7 linked regions of the Xenopus tropicalis genome follow. The protein of the gene in region 6 interacts with the protein of the main gene of each other region in a pairwise test. Links are inferred from orthologs where the notes say so. Each region holds a gene or a part of one and is shown on either strand. Other genes may lie near its edges.

Region 1 (4,186 bases), on a different chromosome or scaffold from region 6:
AAGCTCAAACAGGACAAACTTCTGCCTGCACTAAGCTCAAACAGGACAAACCTCAGCCTGCACTAAGCTCAAACAGGACAAACCTCTGCCTGCACTAAGCTCAAACAGGACAAACCTCTGCCTGCACTAAGCTCAAACAGGACAAACCTCTGCCTGCACTAAGCTCAAACAGGACAAACCTCAGCCTGCACTAAGCTCAAATAGGACAAACCTCAGCCTGCACTAAGCTCAAACAGGACAAACCTCTGCCTGGACTTAGCTCAAACAGGACAAACCTCAGCCTGCACTAAGCTCAAATAGGACAAACCTCTGCCTGCACTAAGCTCAAACAGGACAAACCTCTGCCTGCACTAGGCTCAAACAGGACAAACCTCTCCCTGCACTAAGCTCAAACAGGACAAACCTCAGCCTGCACTAAGCTCAAACAGGACAAACCTCAGCCTGCACTAAGCTCAAACAGGACAAACCTCAGCCTGCGGGACACTTGGTGTCTCCCTCATTTATTTTAGGGTGAACACCTATAAATTCTGGGAGGATGAGCTCTCAAGCAGACAGCAATAGTTCCTGAAAGCACAGGAAGTGGACTGAGCGTGCTATATTTCTTCCCCCCCTCAGCTGGGCTCTAAGTTCTCACTGTGCCACAGTATAAATCCTCTCTCCGGGGCTGTTTGGTGTCGGCGCACGTCCCTCTCTGCCTGTGAGTGTCTACTTCGCACCTGCACCTCCCGCCCTCAGCATCCTGTAGCAACCACATCCTGCCGCTCTGTGCTCAGCCACTCACACGTGCACGCCCCCCGCTCCTACTCACCCCCCAGTACTCACCTGCTCCCCTCACAACCTACCCACTCACTATAGTGTTCTACAAATTTCCCACTGCACTCACACTGACAGCTCACTCACCCTCATCCCTGCTCACTCACATGCCAATAACTCACTTACCCCTCCCCCTCCCCCAATATTTAGTATTCCCTCACTCACTTCCTGCCTCTCTCACTCACTAACAACAATGTGCCCCACTCAGCTCCTGGGTGAGTGCTTGCTCAGTTTTCTCCCCTACCTGTACAGGTGAGTGACTCACCTTAGAGAGAGGCAGAACCATGAAGGCGCCCCCCCCGCTGGCCTCCACCACGATGGCCAGGAACTTGGGATTGACGCAGCAGAAGTTGGAGTCCCAGGTGTTCTGGGAGACGCGGATGTCGTCGTAACATTGGTCGGCTTTCACGGCTTGGCCAAAAACATGGCGGAACTTACTGGTGCGCACAACCTTCCTGCTCATGGTGCGGCCTGCGGGGGGGAGAGAGGATCATGGGAAAAATGAGGGGAATCAAATGCAATAGGGGCAAGAGGAAATATAGCGCAGAGCGTAGGGGTGCAAATGAGTGGGGCAAGTAGACTGGGGTGAGTGAGGCAGGAGAGTGAGGTAGTGAGTGAGGCAGGAGAGTGAGTGAGGCAGGAGAGTGAGTGAGGCAGTGAGTGGTACATGGGGGGTAAGAGTGGGAGTATATGCCACAGAGTGCGGCACCCAGAGAGTGAGTGTGAGTGAGTGCAGAAGGGATGAAAGTGAGGGAGGCAAGAGTGTCAGTAAGTGAGGGGCAACAGGGGGATTGAGGGGGGAGACTGAGAGGAAAGGTGGGGAGAGAGTGAGTGAGTGAGGTGGAAAAAGTGAGTGGGAGACGGTGATGGCAGGGTGAGAGGAGAGAGTGAGTGAGTGAAAGGGAAGAGAGTGAGTGAGTGAAGGGGAAGAGAGTGAGTGAGTGAAGGGGAAGAGAGTGAGTGAGTGAGTGAGTGAAGAGGAAGAGAGTGAGTGAGTGAAGGGGAAGAGAGTGAGTGAGTGAATGGGAAGAGAGTGAGTGAGTGAGTGAGTGAGTGAAGGGGAAGAGAGTGAGTGAGTGAAGGGGAAGAGAGTGAGTGAAGGGGAAGAGAGTGAGTGAGTGAAGGGGAAGAGAGTGAGTGAGTGAAGGGGAAGAGAGTGAGTGAGTGAAGGGGAAGAGAGTGAGTGAGTGAAGGGGAAGAGAGTGAGTTATGGGGTGAAAGTGAATGAGAGGGAGTCAGAGGGTGGGAGAGAGTGTGAGTGAGTGCATGAATGAGTGTGAGAGTGAGTGACAGAGGAAGGTGAGTGAGAGGAAATATAGGGGAGAAGAGTGACCCCGTGTCCAACCCTCATTTTGTGCCCCATTTGGGGTGTGAATTACTTTCCTACCCCAGCCTGGGGCATGATGAGCTTCTACTGCCCTTCCTGATTAACCCCTTCCTGCTCAGACCTGTGACCGGATTAACCCTCTCAGCCCCGTCTGCCCTGATTAACCTTTCACTGTCCCACTCTGTGCCCTGATTAACCTTCTCAGCCCCGTCTGTGCCCTGATTAACGCTCTCAGCCCCATCTGTGCCCTGATTAACCCTCTCAGCCCCATCTGTACCCTGATTAACCCTCACTTTCCCCAGTCTGTGCCCTGATTAACCTTTCACTGCCCCAGTCTGTGCCCTGATTAACCTTTCACTGCCCCAGTCTGTGCCTTGATTAACCCTCACATGCCCCAGTCTGTGCCTTGATTAACCCTCACATGCCCCAGTCTGTGCTTTGATTAACCCTCACATGCCCCAGTCTGTGCCCTAATTAACCCTCATTTGCCCCAGTCTTTGCCCTGATTAATGCACTTCTGCCCTGATTAACCCCCTCCTGCACAAGCCTGTGCCCTGATTAACCCTCTCCTGCCCCAGACTGTACCTGTGGGTCCCGGTGCTGTGGGTCAGATGCTCAGAGCCAGTCACTTCCTGCCCTCTCGCTCTCGCTCGCTCTCTCTCTGTCTCTCTCACAAGTTCTTCTTTTCTAAAAGATTCTCGGCAAGAGACAGGGGGTGGGCAGGAAACTAGGGCTGCACCCTTCCCTCATATCCAGCACAGGAGGGGTTAATAGCGCAATCATCTGCAGCACCCTTGCAGTTTGTTAAGGCAAAAAACCCAGGGCCGGGGAGCACCAATAGGGTGATGTTTTATGTACAAAGGGGTTAATGGGGCAATGCCCTTGGCAATAAGGGGTTAAAGGGGTTCTGCACTGAAATGAAAGTATCAATGGACTCATAGTCTGTAGATCACTGGCAGGAAGGAGTTAATAGACAGGGGCCTGATACTGGGAGAGGGGCCGCATATAAGCACTGGGCAGGAAAGGGTTAATAACTGCTGCAGAGAGAGTGATGGTGGGTGCATGGAACATCAAGGGGTTAAAGGGAAAATAGCCCCAACTCTGTATCACCCTTCTTAACCCTATCTGCCCCTACTAACCTCTATCTGCCCCATGTCATCTCTGCCCCTTCTTATGTCTATATGCCCCTACTAACCTCTATCTGCCCCATGTCATCTCTGCCCCTTCTTATGTCTATATGCCCCTACTAATCTCTATCTGCCCCATGTCATCTCTGCCCCTACTAATCTCTATCTGCCCCATGTCATCTCTGCCCCTACTTATGTCTATCTGCCCCTACTAATCTCTATCTGCCCCTACTAATCTCTATCTGCCCCATGTCATCTCTGCCCCTTCTTATGTCTATCTGCCCCTACTAATCTCTATCTGCCCCATGTCATCTCTGCCCCTACTTATGTCTATCTGCCCCTACTAATCTCTATCTGCCCCATGTCATCTCTGCCCCTACTTATGTCTATCTACCCCTACTAACCTCTATCTGCCCCATGTCATCTCTGCCCCTTCTTATGTCTATCTGCCCCTACTAACCTCTATCTGCCCCATGTCATCTCTGCCCCTACTTATGTCTATCTGCCCCTACTAATCTCTATCTGCCCCATGTCATCTCTGCCCCTACTTGTGTCTATCTGCCCCTACTAATCTCTATCTGCCCCATGTCATCTCTGCCCCTTCTTATGTCTATCTGCCCCTACTAATCTCTATCTGCCCCATGTCATCTCTGCCCCTACTTATGTCTATCTGCCCCTACTAACCTCTATCTGCCCCATGTCATCTCTGCCCCTACTTATGTCTATCTGCCCCTACTAACCTCTATCTGCCCCATGTCATCTCTGCCCCTACTTATGTCTATCTGCCCCTACTAACCTCTATCTGCCCCATGTCATCTCTGCCCCTACTTATGTCTATCTGCCCCTACTTATGTCTATCTGCCCCCACGCATCTTTATCTGCCCCTTGTCATCTCTATATCCCCGAATGCCCCATATCT
Region 2 (3,973 bases), on a different chromosome or scaffold from region 6:
TGCGTATTTCCGCAAGGTCTGGACGCTGCCTTTGTGTATACATAGGAATAGGTTGCTGTGCAAATAACGGCGTATTTTGGCAAACGCATGAAAAGTCCGTGGTAATGCGTTTTCTAGCGTATTTACGCATAGTGTGTTTTCCATCGAGACTGTTTAAGTTATTTCTATGGATGATGATATTGTGCGTTTTTCAGCCACCGAGAGAATTAGAAAATACGCAGGGTAAAAACGCCTCATCTGGCATCAGCCTTAGATTAGAGGAACGGAGCTTCCATTTGAAGCAGCGTAGGTGGTTTTTCACGGTGAGGGCAGTGAGGTTGTGGAATGCCCTTCCTAGTGATGTGGTAATGGCAGATTCTGTTAATGCCTTTAAGAGGGGCCTGGATGAGTTCTTGAACAAGCAGAATATCCAAGGCTATTGTGATACTAATATCTACAGTTAGTATTGATGTTTGTATATATAGTTTATGTATGTGTTAATAATAGATTGGTAAGTATAGGTTGTGTGTGCTGGCTTTACTTGGAAGGGTTGAACTTGATGGACTCTGGTATTTTTTCAACCCTATGTAACTATGTAAATGAATGTTGAGAGTTGTTATAAAATATTGGGGCTGATTTATTAATATAGGTGCGCAACTGCATGAATAGGTTGCCCATTTCAACCAGCAATTCGCTTACATTTTCTATCACGCAGTAGACTGATTAAAATAATTGCTGATCTATTCCTACTGGCAGTAGCACTAGGACCTATAGCATGCTACTAAATGCCCCATGGAGTACTACAAGTTGCCTATGCCTGCAATGGTCTGGCTTGGAATCGCACTTGATAAAGGTAATGTGGCATACAATAAGTTGTGTCGTTGTGCTAAATCTCCTCCAGTACGGACGAAAAAATGTCATAGTGAATCTGTGAAACTTGACTTTCTTCCTCATCAAATGTATTTGCTGTCTAAAATGGGGGGGGGGGGGGGGGGGGTGGCAAACAAAGGTAAGTTTATGATGTAAAAATGGCAGAACAGTGACACAAGGAGGTGGAGTGATGAAAAAAAGTTGTGGAGCTATGATATTACATACAGTTAGAGGACAGATTATAAATAGATCAGGGAATAGGTAAAGCAGATCTGGGGCGGGCCAGGGCAGTGCCATGACTAGCGTATCCAGGCCCTCCTGCAAAAAATCTTCGGAGGGGTCTGGCGCACAGTGATCCATGCCCCAATCTGCCACCCGTACTTTCAGAGCCACCGTTGACATCTCCCCATCGGCAGGTAGGAGAGTGGCTGGGGAGGGGGGAATTCTTATCAGCTATAGAGGAATCAGACCACAGGGCCCCACTGTCCCCCCCAGCGAGGTCTGCTTCCTCTATAGATAAACCACCGGGCCAACAACTGCATTGCTGGTAAATTTGTAATACCAAATACCACCCAGGGCCAAAACTAGGGGTTGACAGAAGAAGCATGTGCGAGGGTTACACGGTGGGTGAGGTAGTGGCGGGTTTCTGTTTGGGGCAGCCAGAGGCCCCCACAGGATTGAACCACACCTGCATCCTTTTTGCTCTCATACAGAGCACTGGGGACAGGACATTTCTGCACTTCCCATCCCTTGTGCTCTGCATGTGAGCAGATTTTATGTGCAGATTAGCGGCATGACGACCCAGGTCCGGGCCTTTATGGCCTCGCTACAAATTCAGGCCTGGGTGAGGGGGGAATGCTAGGAACATACCTCATCTGCCTACCCCTAGATCAGGCCTTCCAGTTCCCCGTGCCACGTGTGCTCATCTGGGGAGCAAGATGGTTGGCTGGTAGGGTTGCCACCTGGCTGGTAAAAATTATGCTTGATGCCAATGTTATTAATAGGAAAAAGCATAAAAATGTAGGCTGGCCAGAAAAGGTGGCAACCCTACAGACTGGGTAGCCAAAGGCACCTGTCTCTCTCAGCCCAGCACTGGCCACAGTCAGATGGCAACCTTACACAGCACAAATGCAATGGAACGGAATGCATAAGAGCCTTACTTCCAACAAGTGCAAATTTTCCAACAATATTAAAACTCAGTTTCAGGAGCAAGTTCCCCTTACTGTAATATACATTCTATTATATTCTTGCATAGACGTGATTGGCTAAAAGGAAACATCTATTGGCTGCCATTGATTATCCCGCCCTCTAAATACAGACGAAGCGATTAGTGCAGGGAGGGAAGAGAATTGTGAGAGTGGGCGGGGCTTGTGAGGCTATATTTGAGCAGAGAGACGCCAGTGGGTGCGATAGCTGTATCTCATATTACTGTGACAGGAGGGTGGGCACGCAGCATATTGAAGTTGTCAGAGGCTGCGCTACATCCAGTTACAGGGATACGGGGCACCGTACAGCCAGCTATGTTTAGCGCGGAGAGCCCTGCTTATATCCCAGCCGCCCATTGGCTGCATGTAGCCCCGTACCGACACACCCCCTCCCGCCGGGCACGTACAACTTGCGACTCGCTCCCGCTAATATAAAGACGCTGCTAATGGCGGGCAGGAGGCTGCGGGTTATGTCAGTGTCACGGTGTGTGTGCATAGGCACACGGTCTGATTAACAACTCTAAACACAATGACATCTATTAACTACCCGCCTTAAGGTCTCTTACAGGAGAGGTGGCGTTCTCCTGACTTTGCCGTATTAGCACCAGAGTTTGATTTCTTGCCAACTTTCGCCCCAAAGGTTCTTATTTTCCTTTTCCTGTCAGTGACATTACATACCTGGCTGCTGCAGCTACACACTTTCCCACAACTGCCCAGTCCTCTGTGCTCCCGAGTCAGCCTGGAGCCGAGTCTGCTCTGCACTGACCCCTTCAGGCTGGAGGATGAATGGGCGCAATTTAAGATTTCTCTGTTTTAGGCGAATTTGCTTAGTCTGGGTTGTACTATTTCCGCAACTTAAAAGCCAGCAGCTTGCTTCTTTGTCATTAATCGGGTCAGGTGTTTTAGGGGAAAGTTCCACCAAGCAAATGTGCCCAGAGTAGGTTACAAAGCCGCTGGCCCCACAGAGAAGTTCAAATCTCTGCAGGAGTTAATGAGAGGTTCCAAGCCTCTTTTTCTCAAAAATGTCTTTTTAAAAATAGAATACTGAAAATAGGAATTACGGTATTTTTAATTTAGATTTTCTGAAACAGTTCATTGTTTAGCTAGCCACAACATGCCCCAGCAGCGCTTATTGCTGTCAAATGGTGTGTTTGTGCAGGCCATTATTATTCCTGAAATAGCCAAGCAGTTAGTTGCATTGCCAACGGAAAGTGTGACTGTGTAAGTGTTTTGCCTCTTTCCCTATTAAATAGCTGGCTTTTACATGGTTAGCTAAACCAGCATGCCAACAAGCTTAGTCCCTTCATCCTGGCTCCTGCTGGGGCCCAGACATGTATGCCTCATTCAGTGGAATGTTGTGTATCTGACATTTGCTGCTGCTGGACAATACATAAAGTGCATTAACATCAGAATCTGAACCTGGGTGACTGACATTTGGGAGGTGTGAAGTTTTGCCTGCAAGTATTTTCTGCCATTATTGGCACCAAATGTAAATTATGCCTGCATATAACTGACTCTCCTTCTCCCCTAGGCTGCATAGTCAGTAGGTTGTGGAAATCTTAAATTAGGTTTGAAGACAAGCAAAAGCATTACAAGGTGGAAAGATAAACAGAGCCTCCTTGCTTAACTGATGCTCAGAGCAGTGATCAAAGAGAAAAAACTTGCACTTAAAAGAATGTCGGAAAAATCAGGGACACCTAATAATTGCTGGGATGCATTGATTGGGTTTAAATGAAATGCAGTTGGTGCAGTCTTTTAACTGTATTATCTAGAACTGTTTCCCACATGATAGGATAAACTTTAACTTAAAGTTACCATACAAGGGCACAATTTAGCATTGGATTTGGCTCCATCAGTTTGAGTTGGCATCTTATCTGCCTGTGTATGGGGCACTCCGAAGGACCTACCCGACCAATATA
Region 3 (3,510 bases), on a different chromosome or scaffold from region 6:
AAGCATATTTCTGAAAATGTATACTTATGTTTGAGAGATTTCATTGTTGAAAAGACAGTAATCACTAAACATGCCAGACCTCTCTATCCCTGTGTAGTTCACAATCCAAATTATGTGACTGTTTTGGCAATAACCTGACACTTCATGTTTTTCCCCAGTGCTTTTGTTTCATGATTAATCTTCCTTGTATCAAACAACATTTTCTTTAATCTCATGTAGAAACAGGCATAAGGAAAACTCCTGTTCTAGAATGATTTTTCTGCCTGGTATAAAGTAGAGCACCAATTACAGGAATCCAGTTTTATATAATTGCAACCAAGAAAAAGCCTTGGTGTATGTAAGCACTGCTGTACAACCTATGTAGAATTTACTTTCTATCACACCTGTGTGGTTTAAAAATGGGTAATCCTCTCCTGTCCTGCTACTCAGTGCAGACGTCTGGCATTTTGTAGGGGCTTGTGGTCCATTAACCCAAGTGCATTAGGACATTCTACAGCAACTTGGAAATATATACATTTTATTATCAGAGCTATGAGATGTAGAAATATTGCCATTAGTTTCTTTAACATCACCGCTGTGGCTCTTCTCGCATTTTAGGTTTTCGTGCCAGCTGTGGGTTGAACTGAGAATTGTAACGGCGTGTTCGGTCATCCATTTCTTGTTCTGGTTCTGCAGACTCCTTTCTCCCTGATAGCAAGGCTTCAGCCCGAGCTCTCTCTGCTGCCTCTCTCTTGAGACGTTCCTGCCTTAGTTGCTCTATTGATGGCTTGGTGGGTCTACAAGACAAAGAAACAAATCACTCTAAATCATGCAGCACACTCCTACCAAGACCAAACTTTCTAGAGGCTGGAGACATTGCCTACATTACTACTTCTGCCAAATATTTACATTGTGAGTTAGCTCATTCAGCACAGAACAAAAGAACTAGAGAGACAAAGGCAGTGGATTTAATTGAGCACTGGGATCCATGGGCTTCTAATTAAAGCAGCAGGAATACCTGTAGACTAGCAGCAAATTCCAATTTTGTCTAACCTACCTGCTTTCTTGCCTGGATTTATGTTTGTTTTGCTTTTCTTCTTTAAATTTCTTCTTTTCTCCAGATTTCTTCTGCAAGTATTTCTCCATGTCATGTAAAGGATCTAACAGGTTTTTCACCTTTTCATCCTTTGCGTTGCCATCTTCGGCCTTACAGTGGCGACCAGGGACTTCCTGGTACCATGGGCGACTGGTTTGGGCTTCTGCAGCACTTTGTCCTAAATATGTAAGAATGCCCAGGGTTTTTTCTTGCCGCTCCTGTGTAAATTATCCATAAAAAACAAAGCAAAACCCACCTAAGAAATCAAGTTAAATACAAATAATTTAAAATACAGTAAGGGAAAAGTTGTCAAAACACACAGCCTCTCCTGCAGTAAAGTAAAATAACAGACCTTTTCTTTACGTTTCTCCTCTTCATATTCTTTGTTGCCTTTGTTTGTTCCTTTGCCCTCCTCCACTTCTTGAAAAAAGTTGATGTGGCCAGAATCCTTGGTGAGTTCCACCGAGGAAGTCCCATCACTCCTGTACTCTTCTGGCAAGGAGAGACGAGCCTTCTTACGCAGGAAATCTGTCCGAGCCTGAAACGGCAAACACACATGTGCAACCAAGACACCTTCCGTCTAATGTACCTGGCACCCTCTGGCAGCAGTGTCTCCATGACTGAGTACCAAAGAATAATGTAGATCTACTGGAGATGCCAAGAGTATTACAGTTGAACCACTGCCCCATGGAGAACATTTGACCACAAGGCCAGTGTCAAACGGTATACCATTCCGCGCCTTTACAGAGATATGCGCAATGTGAGCTTGATGCAAGAAACAGGCGCAATCGCTCTCTGTGTGCAACATGCACATTTTTGCCTCTGTAGTATATAAGGCCTAGTGTGCCTTTAGAGCCGGGGTCTATAGTTTCACTGCAGCGCTACTCTCACCTCTTGTTCTGCGAGTTCCACCCGTTTCCTACGCACTCGCTCCTCTTCCGCAGCCTGTGCCTCGTCCTTCCTAACGCGGGCCACGTTATCCTTATTACGCACATGCCAGCTCTTCTTAGGCAGGATATTCATGGCAACTGTCCTGTCACAATTCCACCAAATAATCCTGCTTTAACTTTCAACTCCGTGATTCCTTCCGGACACAAATCCAGACGTCACAAATCTCATCTCGCGAGATCGTTGCGTCACGCCGCATAACGTAAGCGCGGGGGCGTGGTACGTACGAACCTTTGGGGGCGGGAGTACGTCCGTGTCACATAAGGATAAGCTGTTGGTTGTGGCATGTCACTTGAGTCCGCTTGCTATTGTAATTGTCTTTGCTTGTAGCGCCTACTTCTGACAGGGAAAAGTCACTGCGTTCCCAGTCTTTATGATTTTCATTTAAAAAAAACATTTTTTTTTGCTTTGTTTAGTTTTAGCTTGGGCCAGGGAACAAATAAAATAATTTTCTCAATTTGACCAGAAAGGAAAGAGGGGAAACTAGGGATGGGAGAAATGTAGAAACAGTTTAAAACAAGGGCTAATTTAGAAGAATTAAAATGGATGAAATAAACCAAAACTAATCTTGAGTTTTTAGGATTTTTTTCATGGCATGGGAGAATGCTAGTATATTTGTGCAAACAAGAGAACTAAGAGCTACTGTAGGCACCATTCATACTTACCAAGCACTTAATTGTAGGCTGTGAATTGATTTTTCTTTTTTTATATCCACAGTGCCGGGGCAGGAATAAGCGTCTGATGTGCAGACTGTGGAAACCAGATTGTTTGCAATTAATGGACAAAACAAGGGCTGATTTGGGACAAGACTTCCTACTCCTGCACCATTTTAGGAAGGAAGGAGTTCAAATAAGAAACAATGGCAGTGGCACAAGGGTTCCACTTCTTTTTTGTTCCTAAACTGTGGATGATGGGAGGGTTTAAAGCAGTGATCTCCAACCATGTTGCTCCCCAACCCCGTGGATGTTGCTCTCAGTGCCCCCAAACCAGGTAGTTATTTTTGAATTCCTGACTTGTTGTCAAGTTTTTGTTGAATAAAAACAAGATTTACTACCAAATAAAGCCTCCTGTAAGCTGATAGTGTGCATAGAGGCTGCCTAATAGCCAATCACAGCACTTATTTGGCTCCTCCATGAACTTTTATGGTGCTTGTGTTGCTCTCCAAGTCTTTTTACGTTTGACTGTGGCTTATGAGTAAAAAAGGTTGGGGACCCCTGGTTTAAAGGTACACTAAAGCCTGCAGCACTGCTCAACCAAACTTTACTCAGTTGTTCCTGGACTACAAATCCCAGAACAATTTAACATATAATGAAGGGTGAGCTGTAGTCCAGTAACATCAGGGGTTGTATTCTTAAAGCAATATTGAAACATTTCCAAAACCTTTCCCCAAATCTCCAGGGCCAGTGGCTGCATTAAAATGCAAAAAAAATTCTCCAATGAGAATCCCAGCTGATCTGTGTAACTCTGACTTCCTGTTCTTTGTTCCT
Region 4 (4,150 bases), on a different chromosome or scaffold from region 6:
AGTAGAGCAGGTACACAACCTCTTTTACCTATGAGTCACATTCAAATATAAAAAGAGTTGGGGAGCAACACAAGCATGAAAAATGTACTTGGGGATAGCAAATAAGGGCTGTGACTGGTTATTTGGTAGCCCCTATGTAGACTGACAGCCTCCAAGTCAGGAATTAAAAAATAAGCACCTGCTTTGAGGACACTGGGAGCAACATCCAAGGGGTTTGGGAGCAACATGTTGCTCAGGAGCCACTGGTTGGGGAACACTGCAGTAGAGGATCCAGAAAGTATGTAGGGGTGTTCTCTGAAGCCATGTATTGTATGGCATGAAACAATTGTACAAGAAACTGTAATTATATCTACAGGACTGGATTTCTCTTTAGGCACTCAGAGGCTAGCATCCTCAGCTTCCCCCCACCCCTCCCACAGGGTCGCGTCCTACATCTGGCGCACAGGGGACAGGGTGCATGGAAACCTCCCGTGCATAATCCCCAGTGCCCTGCATGTAAGTAAACTTCATGTGTGGCTTGGGCGGCATGCCGGCCCTGAATGTGTGCTGCCCTAGGCCTAATCTTCATGGCCTTGCCACAAATACCGGCCTGTATATCTACAAACATGAAGTTCTACCTTTAATTGTCCTTAAAAACTTGCAGTAAGATGATCAAATAGGTTAAATAATTGATTGATCTTAATTTGTTCTGTTGTGGTGGGAATATAAAACAACAGTACATCACCCCATACCAGCTGCCATTCTCTTGCTATGCACATTTCTATAAATATAATTTTTAGTCATTTTGCACATCCCTACCCTAATTGCTATATCTTTTGCACATCCCATACTCCTAGGCATAAAAAGTATATACATGGAAATAAGGTGCAATTGTTAAATAAGAATTTCATTTTAAAAAGAATGATTTTCTTTTTTTAATGTGCCCTTGTTGATCAAATAATACTTCTATTTTGCTTTTACCCCCAGATTTTACCCATTGCACCCAATAATACTGGAGGCCCAAAACAAATACACCGTTTGGTTTTCACAAACTGGCAGAGTTGTTTACACTACCTAGTTACCAATACCTACAGACGGGCATACCAACATGCAAGAGATGGATTGCTTTTGCGCATGCGTATGGCCTGCATTCTGAGCAGGCATTTCCTGGGACACCTCTCGCGTTTGCGTCCTTGTTGTAGATGGTTCCGGCTCGCTTGGCTCTTTGGTCCTGTGTGAGATCTGAGCAGGCATTACATAGGGCAGCTTGGCCCTCCTGGGTCCTTGCTGTTGTCGGAACAGGCTTTCGCTTAAGCAACACCACCAGTAGGTTGTACGCATCCTCGGGAGTAGTGAGGAGGCGGAGGAGGAGAAGAAGAAGATGGCGGACGTGCTGAGCGTTCTGCGTCAGTACAACATCCAAAAGAAGGAGATCAATGTGAAAGGAGATGAGGTTATCTTCGGGGAGTTCTCCTGGCCCAAGAATGTTAAGACCAACTATGTCATTTGGGGGTGAGTATGGCGCAGAAGCGGGGAGCAATCGCTGTCATTCTGTCCTTCCCCTGTTTGGGTGCTCACTAGGCATGTGCAACACACACACACACATACACACACACACACACACACACACACACACACACACACACACACACACTGCACTGGCCCCGGGCCAAGCACAGACAGATTTATCCAGGTAACTCCAACCTGTAACTCGTGGTGCCTGTGCAACTACAGCTCCCAGCATCCCCAAATTCTGTCGAAGTTTTGAGGGACTGTGGCAGCTGCCGTTTATGAGCAAAAGTAGAATCCCACCCATAGGAGTTCGGCATAGGTTTCTGTAGCGCCCAACTCGGCAGCGATCACTGTACTACAACTCCCAGAATCCCAGGACAACCTTATTCTGCCCAAGTGCTGCTGAGAGCTGCACAAAGTCCCTGAAATCACTACTGACTATATGTGTATGGCACACTCTCCCCACTTGGGCAAATAGACTCCTGGCATTGCCTCTTATTTATATCGTTACATTACTATTCACACATGCTGTACATCCATACCTTCCTCCTCTTACTATCTGTGTCTGTATGTATCCATTGTGACTAAATGTGCCTCCCCACAACTTACTGAACTACAAATCCCAGCAAGTGTAAAGCTTTAATAGATGCTTAGGATTGTGGGAGCTTTAGTCAGGCAGCATCTCTGGCCTGCACACATAGTATTTATGCTTTCATGTTTGCATAGAAAGGTAACATCAGAAGGATACAGTTACACAATAGTATTATTTTTATGTATGTAAAAGTAATGAGATTTTGAAAAGCTGTACAGGTGCTTTTTTCATGCAAGTTAGTCCTCCCCAGCCCAGATTAAAGGGGAAGTTCACATTATCAAAAACATAGTCCTTTTGTGTAGTTAGGATAATTTTTAGGTATTTGGGAATTGGAAAAGGCGAATTTACTCATGGATGCCAATATGTGAGGCACCCATCAGGGAATTAAAGCCCTACTTTTTTTTTACCTTGGAGAAAGAGCACAACACAATGCAGCCACCTACCCTGACCCAGGTGTCCCAAGCACAGATTTAAACAAGAACTCAAAAATTAATATATATAGAAATGCTTTATTTTATTTTTTTTTTAAACATCTTTTTATTGGTGACTATAAAGGCAATACATGCTACAGGCAGTACGATTCCTTATAGCACTTTTCAAATAGATATAATTTAAAATGTCATACTTTATATATTGAACTTATTGAACACCCCTAAAGGGTTAGCGTTTCTGTAGTAGTAGTTATTATTGAGGACTTCAAAATTGTGCACAGGAGCTCCCAATTTTAGATTGTTAGAAGTGTCAGTAACACTGCACATACTCTGTGTTCTCAGAGCAGCTGTTCTGTTGATAAGCTAAGCTTAGTGGTTGTTACAAATTTTTGAGCAGAAAATGTGTTTTGCCTGTCATAGAAGCTGATGCTGCAGGGTTGATTATTACATACTGATGCACATTGCACTGGTATCAGAGCTGCCCTGTACTAATAATCTGTATTATTGTGACATTTATACTGTGTACATGCACTGTTTTGTAAGTTAGTTCAGCACAGAGCATGTGCAGTGCGTCAGCAGAAGGAAGATGGGGAGCTACTGTAGGTATATTTCGGGGGACAGATCCTCCAAGCTGAATGGCTGTTGTTGCCTTGTGTTGGTACAGAAGCACAAAACATAATGTGCTGCATTTCTGCTCTACTTCTCAAACTTTAGTTCTCCTTTAAGCCCATGCAAGTGCAGTGGAGCACAATTAAAAACTTTTACTCTGTTGTACAGGTATGGGACCCGTTATCCAGAATGCTCAGGACCTGGGGTTTTTCCGTAATTTGCATCCTCATATTTTACTTAAAAATCATTTATAAATTAAATTAAGCCAATTGGATTGTTTTGCCTCCATTAAGGATAAATTATCTTAGTTGGGATCAAGTACAAGAAACAGAGCAAAAGGAAATATAAAATTTTTAAAATGTAAGTTCTTTCCTTAAAATGGAGTTGATGGGAGATGGCCTTTCCGTATAACTGGTTTCCAGATAATGGGTCCATACCTGAACATTTCAAAGGCTATGTCTGAAGAGGGACAGCTGGGAAATGCTGGTAACCTGGCTGTGTTGCTGCATTACTTTTTCCCCCTGGCTGGTTTTATTTTATTTTTTCCTAAAAAGAGCATGGATGGAAAGTATGGGTCAGGGACCCCCCCTTCCCACATGGATTGGATAGAGGCGTACTTGAATAAACACAAAGCAGTCAAAAACATTTTTGAAACATGGGAATCTTTTATTAGTATAATTCCACATGCACTGAAAGTTAAAATACTGCTTTAAAACTACCAATTGGTATATAACAGACTCTGAGAGGTAACCCACCTATACAATTAGAAACAGAAAGAGAGGTTAAGGCTGATGCCACACGTGGCGGTTTTACGCTGCGTATTTTCTAATTCTCTCGGCGGTTGAAAAACGCACAATATCATCATCCATAGAAATAACTTAAACAGTCTCGATGCTAGAAATACGCTAGAAAACGTGTCACCACGGAATTTTCATGCGTTTGCCGAAATACGCCGTTATTTGCACAGCAACCTATTCCTTTGTGTACACAAAAGCAGCTGCCAGACCTTGAGGAAATATGCAGCGTT
Region 5 (4,049 bases), on a different chromosome or scaffold from region 6:
GTACACTGTACTCATAACATCAAATCTCAATATATATATATATATATATATATATATATATATATATATATAGATATATACCCCCACACACATATTGTCAGGAACTAAGCAGCAGTTGGGTAGCAATTAATGACTACATAAACATTTTCCTTGATGTGCGTGTCCATATATACACATACACATGCCAATTTATAACACTCCCCCTAAAAGGCGCTTGAAAAGAAATATTTACGTGGCCCTGGAAGTAGATCTATAATTAATAGACAATATATGGATTAGAACCAGAAAATGGTATGCCTTTTTTTGTTGAGAAATGAATAAACCTAAAGAGGCATTTATAGGAAACACTCTGTTAATACATAGGCCAGTAAAAGACTAGTAATTTCCATCATAACCACATTTATTTATAATGATTGTTTTTCCCCCATATATAGGGACAGTGTCAACCCCACTGGCAGAAAGAGAAAGGACTGGAGGGGTCCTGGAAGCTACATTTACAAGCACCAGGGGAGAATCTCTACATACAAATAAACAAGAGCCTGGTTATAGCTGCGAGCTGTGTTTATATCAGTTTGCTAGCGTGGGCATCATCTCACCCCCATGCAAGCAGCTTCGAGCAGCATCTCAGACACTGCTCATCGCTACCCAAACATGTGCTGGTTTATTTGACAAACAGCTTGTAAGAAGTTGTTCACTCCAAGATGAACTGGAGTGATGTGCTGCTGTGATGTGTTGGGAGGGAAAGGGGTGATGTGTGTGTGTGTGTTTTTATTGCAGTGGAAACCAACTTTGCTTGTGCCTCATCCAAGCTTTGATCAGTTATGGTCATAATCTGGTGCAGGATGTCTCCAATGTCCTGCTTCCTGCCGTCACCATCTCCCCCATCGTGACCATGGGGAGGAGGTAAAGTCATTCCCCCTTGAACCGAGTGGCCAGCCATGGCCACCCCAGCCAAAGTCTGCATCATCCTGGTCTGTTCGTCCATACTCTTCTCCGCAGCCTAATCAATGACAACACAGACTGCAAGGAGACCTCACAGCCAGTGATAGCACCGCTGTGGGGTTACTGCCCCACACATCAACAACGTCAACCGTCAGAATCCAACCAGATACCCAGTCTCTATGGACAGAGCAGTTTTAAATCAAGGTCTGTGATAGTATTTCATCCCACCAATGTAAATACCATCCAAATATCAGAACCACAACATGTAGGGTTTCATAAAAATGTATTACAGGTGCGATCGCCTTCAGCAGCTAAAATCTTTTTATTTTAAAAATGCTCTTTCTGAAGAGGTCAAGTTTCTTTTTTTTTTTATTCCAAGAAAACGTGGACGAGAAAAGGGGGCATATTAAAAGTTGCAAATGAAAGTCAGCATCTTCTTCTGTCTGTATTTTAATCTTCAGGTAATGACAGGTCAGTCAGAGTTTACTCCAAAATGACGGCACACACAGCAGAGGCATGATTTGTGTTTACTCCTTTCACATAGTGTTAAGTTTTCAATAGAATAACAAGTGAGCACCTGGTTCTGAGTTCTTGAAGTATTACGAGCTGCTGTAAATTCAGTCTTTATTTCAATTCTTTTCAATTCCAACAATGCATTCCAAATGAGGAAAATAAATCTGCTACAAAGATGTTCAAATGTAGCACAAACCTCTACGTCACTATAAGTACTAGTGACACATGTTCCTTCACAGCAGTTCCAGTCGTGTTTTATTATTAAAAAAAAAAAAAAAATCAAGTTTCTATTCGGTGCTTATCCCATCCATGCATTTTGGCCAGCATAGAAATGAATTACATTCAGACTATTTTGATGAAAAGATCAACGCGTTTTCAGCAATGTCCACGATGGTCATTTATTGATCCCTTTTGATTTTTTTTTTTGATTTCGGACCAGGGTTTTCCAGTCAATCCTTCATCCACTTCTCTGAGCGAGCGCTGCCAATCTCCGGCTGCTCCGGTAGTATTCTCCTTTCTAAGAGAAATAAATAAATCAGTGACTGATGGTAGCTCCTTTGCAGGGTCGTGTCCAACATCAAATCAGTAGTAAAAAAAAAAAATAAATAAAAGAAAACTACAAAATTAAATATTTGTATAGAAAATCTAAATGAAAGTTGTGCCCAGGGGTGGGGGGAGAAGAAGCAGCAGCAGCTTGAGCTATTAATGGGAGTAATAAGATAGAAATGGTTAAGGTGCCCGGTGTGGGGAAGATGATGATGATGATGATGGTGGCTCAGAGCAGCAATCAAAAAAAGTTTTTTTTCCCCTTCTCGGCGGCGGCGGCGGCTAAGGGGAGCTGAGGGGAAGAGATGGATGGAGGGGCCGGTGCCGGGACTCCCGGGCGGGATTTATGGCTGCTTCCCCCGCTATTTCGCTCTTGCCGGCTCCGGTGACGGATTGACAGGCTGCCAACGCCACTCACTCACTGCGGACGTGTCAGACTTTGAAGGAGGGGAGGAAATAAAAAGGGAGACAAAATATAAATAATGGAGGTAGGCTCCTCCTCCCCGTGTGCGGGGCCCCGAGAAAGGAAAGGGGGAGGGGCAAAGGGCGGCGCTATTGTCGCTTCTCCCCACTCTCCTTCTATCCCCCGCCCGCTCCCCACTCGCCTCGGAGAAATGGCGCGGGTTTGGCGGTTGCTAGGGCGCTGCGACGCACCTTTGCCGCCGTTGCTATGCGAGGTGTGACAGGTAACCAATGGCCTGTCTGAACTTTGCTCTTCTTCCTATCATCGTTAGCCGGTGAAGGTGAGAGCAAGGTAGGTTGCCGCCGCGTAGTGTTCCCGCCGGTCCAAACACTTTATGATTCGTGAATTGGAATGTTCATACTCATACGGTCATTTTTCTTTAGTGGGCGGGGATTGGGCGGCTGGTCCTCCTCTGGTTTCCATGGCAGCGGGCAGGGCGGGAGATTGAGGGATGCTGCGAGTGAGGAGAAAGGGCAGCATCAGCTCCGCTCTCGTTGCTTCTCAGTGAGGAAAGTGGCTGCCCAACTCGGGTAAAAGTTGTCGTTGAACAGGGTTTTTGGAGTTTAGTTAAGCGTGAGTATCCTGCAGGCCCACCTGGTATGAAGGATATATAAACAACATGTTACCTGGTTATGTTGCATAATGTTATTTTTTTTTCAAACAAAACAAGGTATAAATGGTGAGAGAAGGAAGAGAGTAGTAGAAAAGCTTACATTTTATGCTCTCATTGGAACTAATAAGGCTGCTTAGGCACTTACATTGGTAGGTCTCAAGTATCTCCTATCTAGGCAGGGGGTCCCCCCCCAATGTCCAACCATGGCTGCCATATTTTGGCCAACTTTGCTGGACATCGTCTGGCTAGTTATGTCAGTTTTAGCCGCTGCAATTACCATTGGCTCCAAAACTCAACCCAGGCTAATGGTAAGGTAGTGTTGAACATAGGGCTGGGCGATATACCGTTTAATACCGAATACCGGTGTTGTTTTTTTTAAACTATATTCATTTTTCAGATACCGCAATACCGGGGTGTCAGGGTACTCACCCGTGCGGCCCGTTGTCTGCGGGACATTGCGCACAGGCGTCCAGGTGCGCGTGCGTCAAAGCGCACGTACATATCAAAGCGTGCACGTCCATGATGCGCTGATGGCGCCGGTCCTGCGCATGCGTGGGGGATATTTAAAGCTATCAAACTCCTCCTCCTGTGCTATGTTGTCTGCGGCCTTGCCTGGGAAACTAAGCCTGCCTGATTTACCTTACGACTTTCTGTTGCCGATCCTTCGCTTGCCTGACTCTGATTTTCAATACTGCAGTAATTATTCTCTAATTTATTAGGAAATGGGGTTAACACCTAATCATGCATGGAAAAAAAAAATACCGTCAAATACCGTGACACCGATATAATTTTGAAAAATGTTTGGTCATACCGCCCAGCCCTAGTTGAACAACAGAATTGTAAGCAAGTTGCCTGCATGTATAGGTGGCTATATTGAACCCTATCCAGTAGTTTGCTTTTCCACATTGGTAGATGAAAGTTAATGAGGTACCCCAGCGAAAAGTATTTTTGAGCAATAAGGCTAGTCACATA
Region 6 (4,261 bases):
TATTTGCTAGAAGTTTATAAAACGGTAGACCCCTTGAAGATGTAGTTTTGAAAATATATTTTTCAGTTGAATCATCTCCACCTATTTAGGCTCAATTCAACAGGTATTGAGGAGCTCTGGCACCAGCAGAGACCCAATACAACTCAGGGTGATATAAGAGATGGAAAGGTGGATATAACCCAAACCATGTACTCAAGGCCAACCCCAGGTCAGAGCAGAAAAAAAAAACTATGCAGATCAGTTGAGAGAAAAAGCAGAGTAGCAGGAAGAGTTTTAGTAGATCCTCTAAACAGAAGTTTGAGCAACAGGTAAGGTTATAAATATACCCTTTAGAAGGCAAAACATGAGGAAACAGAGAATCAAAAGGATCAAAGGTATCAAGAGTATCAAAATGCACACACAACAGTGTTCCAACAATGACACAACAGTGAGTTAAAGGAATCCAAGCACAAGCCTGCCAGAGTGGGGCCTTCACAATACCCTTGAAATATAATAAATAGGATTTTTTTACACAACAGATTGTGCGGTAATCTGCAGCAGTAACAATCATTCAATAAGTAAATGACCACTGTAATAAGCAAATCTTAGAATAAGGGCTCTGGTACACGGGGAGATTAGTCGCCCGCGACAAATCTCCCTGTTTGCGGGCGACTAATCTCCCCGAAATGCCAATTTCCCTGACGCGATTTCCCTGAAATCGTGGAAGTTGCCTTGAGAGGAAACTTCCACGATTTCAGGGAAATCGCGTATGTCATCCCACCGCCGATTTACATTTTCGCCGGTGGGATGGCATTTCGGGGAGATTAGTCGCCCGCGAACAGGGAGATTTGTGTGCCAGAGCCCTAACCTGTAAAATATATCCTTACTTGTTAAATAGACTATCGATAATTAATTGCGCTAATTGCGCTATAGATAACATGTATAGGTCATTCAGGCAAAGCACAGCATTTCAGGGGCATAACTAGTCCTTAGGAGCCATTTAGAACTGCAAGCACAGTTGTACTCCCTTTTTTCCACACTGAGTTGCACATTAAACCCAATTCATTAAGGTACTTTCTTCAAAATACTCTTCTTGCACGTCCATATAGTTGTGCCCAACATATAGATGTGCCACTGCACTTGCAGACATACTTGACCCATATTAAAGTGGTGCACTTCACCAGAGTGCCAGGTGTCAAAATATAAAATATAGCTCATCTAAGCAGTGTATATCTTATTGTAACTGTATGTATGCAGCACAATCTCTGACTATAATATACAGTAGTTGTTTGGGTGACACCAAATTCTATATTATGAAAATTTTATCTGACTTTATAGCTTCTCTTTCATCAGAACATAGAATGGGCTTTGCAGTTTAGGCTTGATCAATATGATCCCATTTAAAAGACATAGTAATAGTAATGTAATAGTTAAAACAAATTCTATATCAAATCTTGGGTTGCAAAAGTAGATACTGTGACATACACTGCAGGTAAAACTAATCCTATATAAAAAGGTAACTTGTAGGGTATACAATAAATACTATATATTTGCCATCCATAGACTGGGCCTTTCAGCAACCAGATTAAACATGGCAGAATTGTTACATGATCCTCATAAGAAATAACGTAGAAATAAAATAAAGGCCCCCATACACGGGCCGACTATAGCTGCCGATATCGTTCCCTTGGACCGATTCGGCAGCTAATCGGCCCGTGTATGGGCAGAACAGAGCAGCCTGGCCGACCGAGATCTGGCCTGAAATTGGCCAGATCTCGATCGGCCAGGTTAGAAAATCCAGTCGGATCGGGGACCGCATCGGCTCGTTGATGCCGTCCCCGAACCGACTGCCCCATAAACTCAAATGTTATTTTTTTTTAAGTCCCTTGCTACCCGATATCGCCACCCGTAGGTGGGGATATAGGGTGAAGATCCGCTCGCTTGGCGACATCGCCAAGCGAGCGGATCTTATAGTGTATGGGCACCTTGACTGTAGTTAGGGCATTAGTTGCTCTTTATAAAAATATAAAGCCATAATTCAGAACTGATTGGAATTCAAATACAGGCCACACAGTGTTACACAAATCTGTGTAACACTGTGTAATTAATGCACTTTTCAGCAGCAAGCACTGCACTGCTCTCTCTCAGTGGCTTTGTTTAAGTATTTATGGTTACATGTTTTACACCTTTGGTGGGGGTGCACACTGAGATTGAGAGTTGAATCTGTAACCCTGGACAGCACAGTTACCTTCACTGATTGTGTTACACAAATCGAACAACACAGAATAGCCCAAGACAACTTTTTAAAATATTATATGCTGAAATTTCAATATATAAGATTCTGTTGGTTAGACACAAGAGAAACAGTTCTCACACTTACATAATCATATGTAACCGGAAAATGTTACAGAGCGTAAATCAATAAAGGACTGTAAAATTATGAGCTAAAATTAGACCTCTGGATTCTGACATATTTTTTCACAGGCCAGCCAATAATAACAGTAATTTTACTAGATTTTACTAGAGAGGGTTATCAAACTATAGTAAGTCATTATTGTACAGTAAATTACACACACAGGCTGAAGTAGCCTGGGACACACAAAGATACATGGTACTTGTGAAGATTTACCTGCTGATCCAGATTCTACGCTGCTGATAAAATATATAATCACATACAGTAGATTCGCCGATGTGTCCCTGGGACTGAGGCTTGAAAAGGCCAGCAGTAATTTTAGACAAAGTGCCCTGAAATACTAATGTCCATGCAGTGAGAGAGACTGACAAATATAGAATCTCCCCCAGCTGTCCTTCCCCTGCTAACCCTGCTCATGTATCAGAGGGAAGAAGCAGAGATTTGTGCCCGGGAATGTCTCAAACATGTCAGAGCAAGAGCTGGACAAATGCAAGCTGTTACATATATTTAACACACACACACACACATATATATATATATATCTATAAAGATTTCCTATGGCAGCACCACTGAAGTAGTAAATCCATGGCAGTAGAGGTAATCAACACCCTTAAATCATATAGAGAGTGCAACAAAGCATTACTGTTATTCTTTGCACAAAATCACACAACAGTAATAAACAAGCTCCAGACGTTAAAGTTTCTGAAGAATCCACTCCCTTTATCAAGTTGCAAATGTCTGATTAGCCTACCAAAGCTTCATAGCACGTCAAGTCACATATTACAGTCACATGATATAGATATTATACAGAAAAAACTTAGGTCCCATTGTAGTCTACAGACCAGCACACACTGAGTATCATTTAATAGATCCCAAAAGGGGAGGAAATTACAGCATGTAAAAAAAAAAGAATTTCTATATAAATATAGAAAAAAAACAGGGACGCTGCCATGAGGCAAGTAAGAAATTTGCCTCAGACTGCAATGCCCCAGTAATTACCAGGAGTGGCAAAATCTGCTCCTGGTAATCTTATAAGCCTAATTTCCTACTTATTGCACTAGAAATTCAGCTCTTATAGTGCAATTGCACTCTAGCAATCTGGCACCCCAAAGACTACTTCCAGTGCAAGAAAGGTAATTGCTGGGGGGTGAAGGTGGGGGCAGCATCTCAAGACCCATCTCAGAAAGGCTCATGTCATAGAATCACCCCTGAAATAAACAGAACAAAAAAAAAATTGAAGAAATAAATACCTCTGCATTTAAGTATGTTTGTACAGTCACCAACTTGTTGTCACTTTGCAACCTATTCCAGCACAACAAACAAAATTTAACAATAGATCTATGTTGTAAAATCTGACTGATCACATACTTGTAGTTTTGCTTGGATATATACAAGGCCACAGGGGCATCGTATAAAATAGCCAGATTGATCAATATTACTAACATTGACTACGATTATTGAACATTGTAATGCAATTTACATTGTGTGCAAGACCCATATTTGAAATTTTCTCAGAGATCCTAAAACCATAAGGGCAGTGGCAGGTGGCAAAAATAACATGTGGCAGAAATATCACAACAGCTTGCTCCTAGATCATATGCTGCTTTATTTTCTGAAATGCAGTCTGCAACAAATCTTTGTTACCGCGGGCGAATAATCTCCCCCAATGCCATCCCACCGGCAAGAATGTAAATCGCAGGTGGGATGGCATACGCGTGGCTAAGATTTCACGAAGTTGCCCGATGTTTCCTTGAAAGGCAACTTTGGGAAATCGTAGCAACGTGTATGCCATCCCAACTGCGATTTACATTCTTGCCGGTGGGATGGCATTGCAGGGAGATTAGTCACCCGCGATATTGAAGATTTGTT
Region 7 (4,208 bases), about 57 Mb from region 6:
CCTGTTCTCCTTTGAACAGGAAACCAGTCAAAAAGCCCTTTTTAACAGATGCCTACTCAAAGGAGAAAAAAGGCTCAGTGTATTTAAGGGGGTGGAGCTTTAGTCCATACCCATACTGACAATTTCACTATATGCATTACAGTATGATATGTGGTTCTATGGTATAATATGTTCAAATACCAGTTCACAAGAGTTTTTTCTTTTATACCTTTTGAGAAAACCAATCAGGAGGGCGACCTGGCTCTGCAAAGGGCTTGATGGCACGACTCACTGATACCCTGATCACAATAAAAGCAGAGAGTCTGCATTAAAACCATGAAATACAATAAATATCACAAAAACAGGTAAAAGATGTGTGCAGTATGCAAGACACAATTAAGTGTTGACAAACCTAATATCATGTGTACATGGGTTTTTTCATAGCAAGCAGATAAGAAAGGGGATGGATGGTGATGTAAAAGGGGCAGACTGGGGGGCCGACGGAAAGAAATTTCTTAGGAAACACCGTTATGGGAAAACATGTTTTTTTTCAAAATGCATCTGTTAATAGAACTTCACCAGCAGATTCCTGGATTGAAATCCATTTTTCAAATACAGATTTTTTTAGATTTAATTTTGAAATTTCACATATTCTTCATCTCCCAGGGTGCTACAGTCATGTGACCTGTGCTCTGATAAACTTCAGTCACACCCCCCCTCCCCAGCACCCAATCAGCAGAACAATGGGAAGGGAGCAAGATAGCAGCTCCCAGTAGATATCAGAATAGTACTCAATAGTAAGAAATCCAAGTCTGGCTTGTGACTCCTCCAGTTACATGGAAGTAGGAGAAACAATATTACAGCTAAAAAAAACACATTTGTTGGTTCAAGAATAAAATTGTAAATGGTAGAGAGAATTATTTGCTATGTAAACTGTATTTTTTTTCTCAAGAAGCACACCATAAAAATCATGACAGTATCCCTATAAGTAAATGAAAAAAAAAAATTCCAAGCTGGGAATAGGGGCAGGCTGGTTGTGTAAAGGCAAGTAATTTATACCCACTCTGGGTTAGCATTTTACTGACAAGGTTGGTGAAATACCAGCCAGGTGACAACCCAAAACTGCCTTGTGCCCCGTTGAATACACTAGCAATAATACTGTATATGCATCACTAAAACGGTAACAATTAAATTCCTCACCAGTTCTGGTCGCCACTCCGCATTACTGAAGAAGCAAGACAAAGTTTCTCCCGAATAGACCATGGTTCTGTTGGACCAATATTCAACAGCTTGTGTTCTGATGGGAGAAAAGGGAACTGAATCAAATAGTGCTGGTAGGAATTTGTCAAACAAATGTTGTTAGGCTGCACAATGAAAACTGAACCGGAAGGCTAAACCACGTGCGTGTTTATGGGACAAAATGTTTGATTTTAAGACTTTTAATTTGTCGGCCAGGAGCATGGATTTAGCCAAATCCTGTTGAAAAAGGCTGAATCTTGGACGAATCCCAAACCAAATCATGGATTCAGTGCATTCCTACATCAAACAAGTTATTAACTCATATTTTACACCATATTGTGGATTTAATGCCTTAATCATTACTGAAGGACGTTTTGCTTATCTGGTCTAGACTTATTTACTAAAGCAAGCTAGAAAGCTTTCAGATGCCCCTTTTTTCACCTGGGTTCAATAAAAAGGGCTTACATACTTTTTGCCTATTTTTTGAACTAGGAAATATCTATAGTATTTGTTATTTCTTGCTCTAATCATGGCAAAATTTGAGGGAGAAAGTAGAAATAGAAGCGGAGCGCCGGGCAACAAGTTAGTAAAAACATGTATTTATTTCCATTTCATTAAAAACATAAAAAGCATAGAAGAGCGTTCTCACCCATACAGCTTGATGCGTTTCGTGGCTAGCATGCCACTTCCTCAGAAGCAAATTTGAAAATGAAAAAAGTTAAATTCTGCTTCCTGATCCCAAAGCGCAGAAAACCAGCAGCCTGCTAAGATGCCACTGTATTCTTAGTGGGCTTCTCAGTGGACTGCTGGTTTGTTTGAACTTGCTATTTGGAATGAGGAAAAAGAACCATATATACTTTTTGGCTACTCTTTTCATTAAGAAATTTCTGTGGTTAGCCTATGACTTTGTTCTTGGGAAGCACAAAATGCATTAGGCAATAGAGATGTTATGTCAATAAAGATGTTTTTTGTTGTTGTTTTTAAGAAATAACTTGATGTCCAAGGTTTTTTTGAGTGCCCAACTCCATTTTTGATGTTGATATACATGGGGCTGGTACACCTGGAGCAGATGTTGTGAATTCAACAAAGCTGCCTTTTTTACTTAAATTGGCTATTTAAAAAAAAAATCTAAACTAAGAAGCCCCACTGGAAGAAAGGAACAAGAAGCGCTTAGTCTCGATAATAGGAAGCCATATCCTCCTGCTCTGGGATGCTAGGATGTGTAGTCCCACCAAAACAAGGGCAGAGGATCTGCAACACTACATATTCATATACACACAACATGATTAAATGAACGGAGCATCCTCTAAAAACACACTAGTGTAGACTTATAATTTAGGTATATATATAACAGTACGCTATTAGGAAAAAAAAAATAAAATTGCTCCACCAGGACAAAATCGATTCGCGCGTTTCGGTATACACATACAACGAATATTGCTATTAAAAGCATTTGTAAGCTTTCTAAACTCACTTCCAGTCCCGGCAGCCATCTTCTCAACCACAACAGAACATCAAACTCTCACGATAACTACTAAGCACGCTGGGCCTGTGATCTCGTCGAATAGCATGGCGGGAAGTTTTGTTATTGTGGTTGGTTGCTAGATCTGGAGTGGTGCGCCGATCTTCCTATTGATGAAGGGGAACACAAGATGCCGCAAAATAGCAGTACGTCGGGTCAAACAGCTCTATAATTAGCTGTACCCGATCGCAATAATTTAGCCATCAGTCAAAATATTACTTTTATTATTTATTTTGCTTTTACTTATGAGAAAATGTAGCATTGTTTACAACCAAAGAACAGATACATGTCTCTTTTAATTTGAATTACATTTATCAATATCTTTAAACCAACTAGAAATATTTTTAATGTCGAATATGATTTAACACCCAAAGCCACAGATTTTTTATGTATGATGCAATAGCACAGTAATGGCAAAAAATATGATATAATGTGACATATATATATGGTACAACTGATATTAAATAATGAAATATAATAGTTAAGGTATACAAATTACAGTTTAACCAATGAAACAATATGGCCTTGTTTCTTTGCGGCTCCTACACATCTTTGACTCCGACTCTGACCATATTAACACCACTGTCTAAACCTGTCACTTTTTCTAATGCAATATTGCCAAAATCCATTCCTTTCTATTGCAACAGCTAGGCTGCTCTTGCATGCTCTCATCCTATCCTGACTTGACGACTATAACCTGCTACTAACCAGCCTCCCTAACTCCCATCTTTCCCCCCTTCAGTTTGTATTAAATACTGCTGCCAGAATTCTCCTCTCATCCAGGAGAGTTCAGGCCCTTCCAATGCTAAAGCCCTTATCATGGCTTCCCATTAAGGCTAATGCCAGACGAGGCGTAGGGCGGATATTTTCGGCAAGCGGAAAAGCGCTTGCTGAAAATTCCGCCCTACGCCTCCTACATGTGCCTGCACCCGAGCATATTCCATTCATTCGGGTGCAGGCACATGTAGGAGGCGTGGGGCAGAATTTTCAGCAAGTGTTTTCCGCTTGCTGAAAATATCCACCCTACGCCTCGTCTGGCATTAGCCTAAACAAAGAATATCTTGCAGATTCCTTCTTTTAACCGTCAAAGCCCTCCATTCCTCTGGTCCTCACTACATCTGTTCTCTTGTGTTTCCATACGTTCCTGGCTGACTCCTTCGTTCCTCACAGAGCAACCACTTGGTTGCACCCCCCACTTCTACTGCCTTAAACCTTTCTGCCTTGCTGCCCCTTACATTTGGAATGCGGAGATGGAGAGAATCCTCCCTCAGTCTTTTTAAAACTAAACTTATAGACTACCTTTTGGAGCACTCACACAGCACCTGATCTGGAAACTAGCACTTATATTGTAATGTCACCAGCTGTGACCTACAGCACTTATATTTGCCTATTTGTGTCTATAAGTTACCCTCCCATCTAGATTGGGACCTCCATCCTCTTGTCTCTTTGACTCTTAACTTGTTGCAAC

Evidence for each region.
Region 1: the proteins of fsd2 (region 6) and coro1a interact in binary tests that used the Homo sapiens proteins (3 or more experiments, as listed by UniProt). The two-hybrid records come from large-scale screens. The link is inferred for Xenopus tropicalis from reciprocal best matches to the Homo sapiens genes FSD2 and CORO1A.
Region 2: the proteins of fsd2 (region 6) and esd interact in binary tests that used the Homo sapiens proteins (3 or more experiments, as listed by UniProt). The two-hybrid records come from large-scale screens. The link is inferred for Xenopus tropicalis from reciprocal best matches to the Homo sapiens genes FSD2 and ESD.
Region 3: the proteins of fsd2 (region 6) and leng1 interact in binary tests that used the Homo sapiens proteins (3 or more experiments, as listed by UniProt). The two-hybrid records come from large-scale screens. The link is inferred for Xenopus tropicalis from reciprocal best matches to the Homo sapiens genes FSD2 and LENG1.
Region 4: the proteins of fsd2 (region 6) and cdc73 interact in binary tests that used the Homo sapiens proteins (3 or more experiments, as listed by UniProt). The two-hybrid records come from large-scale screens. The link is inferred for Xenopus tropicalis from reciprocal best matches to the Homo sapiens genes FSD2 and CDC73.
Region 5: the proteins of fsd2 (region 6) and pbx3 interact in a two-hybrid assay, tested with the Homo sapiens proteins (3 studies listed by BioGRID and IntAct). The two-hybrid records come from large-scale screens. The link is inferred for Xenopus tropicalis from reciprocal best matches to the Homo sapiens genes FSD2 and PBX3.
Region 7: the proteins of fsd2 (region 6) and brd8 interact in binary tests that used the Homo sapiens proteins (3 or more experiments, as listed by UniProt). The two-hybrid records come from large-scale screens. The link is inferred for Xenopus tropicalis from reciprocal best matches to the Homo sapiens genes FSD2 and BRD8.

The regions. Positions count from the first base shown.
Region 1 is NC_030685.2:2,354,822-2,359,007, forward strand, and holds the start of coro1a (coronin-1A), read right to left. Parts: upstream 2,801-4,186; 5' UTR 2,726-2,800; intron 1,285-2,725; 5' UTR 1,277-1,284; coding exon 1,079-1,276; intron 1-1,078. UniProt on the Homo sapiens protein: May be a crucial component of the cytoskeleton of highly motile cells, functioning both in the invagination of large pieces of plasma membrane, as well as in forming protrusions of the plasma membrane involved in cell locomotion.
Region 2 is NC_030678.2:134,606,982-134,610,954, forward strand, and holds the start of esd (S-formylglutathione hydrolase), read right to left. Parts: upstream 2,801-3,973; 5' UTR 2,733-2,800; exon of another isoform or gene 2,607-2,732; intron 1-2,606.
Region 3 is NC_030683.2:104,890,749-104,894,258, reverse strand, and holds leng1 (leukocyte receptor cluster member 1), read right to left. Parts: upstream 2,132-3,510; 5' UTR 2,099-2,131; coding exon 1,967-2,098; intron 1,614-1,966; coding exon 1,428-1,613; intron 1,294-1,427; coding exon 1,037-1,293; intron 777-1,036; coding exon 569-776; 3' UTR 501-568; downstream 1-500.
Region 4 is NC_030680.2:113,580,043-113,584,192, reverse strand, and holds the start of cdc73 (parafibromin), read left to right. Parts: upstream 1-1,350; 5' UTR 1,351-1,360; coding exon 1,361-1,491; intron 1,492-4,150.
Region 5 is NC_030684.2:27,662,741-27,666,789, forward strand, and holds the start of pbx3 (pre-B-cell leukemia transcription factor 3), read right to left. Parts: upstream 2,801-4,049; 5' UTR 2,656-2,800; intron 2,602-2,655; exon of another isoform or gene 1,973-2,601; 5' UTR 986-1,972; coding exon 789-985; intron 1-788. UniProt on the Homo sapiens protein: Transcriptional activator that binds the sequence 5'-ATCAATCAA-3'.
Region 6 is NC_030679.2:105,256,613-105,260,873, forward strand, and holds the start of fsd2 (fibronectin type III and SPRY domain-containing protein 2), read right to left. Parts: upstream 2,801-4,261; 5' UTR 2,609-2,800; intron 1-2,608.
Region 7 is NC_030679.2:47,838,773-47,842,980, forward strand, and holds the start of brd8 (bromodomain-containing protein 8), read right to left. Parts: upstream 2,801-4,208; 5' UTR 2,712-2,800; coding exon 2,693-2,711; intron 1,277-2,692; coding exon 1,180-1,276; intron 279-1,179; coding exon 209-278; intron 1-208. UniProt on the Homo sapiens protein: May act as a coactivator during transcriptional activation by hormone-activated nuclear receptors (NR). Isoform 2 stimulates transcriptional activation by AR/DHTR, ESR1/NR3A1, RXRA/NR2B1 and THRB/ERBA2.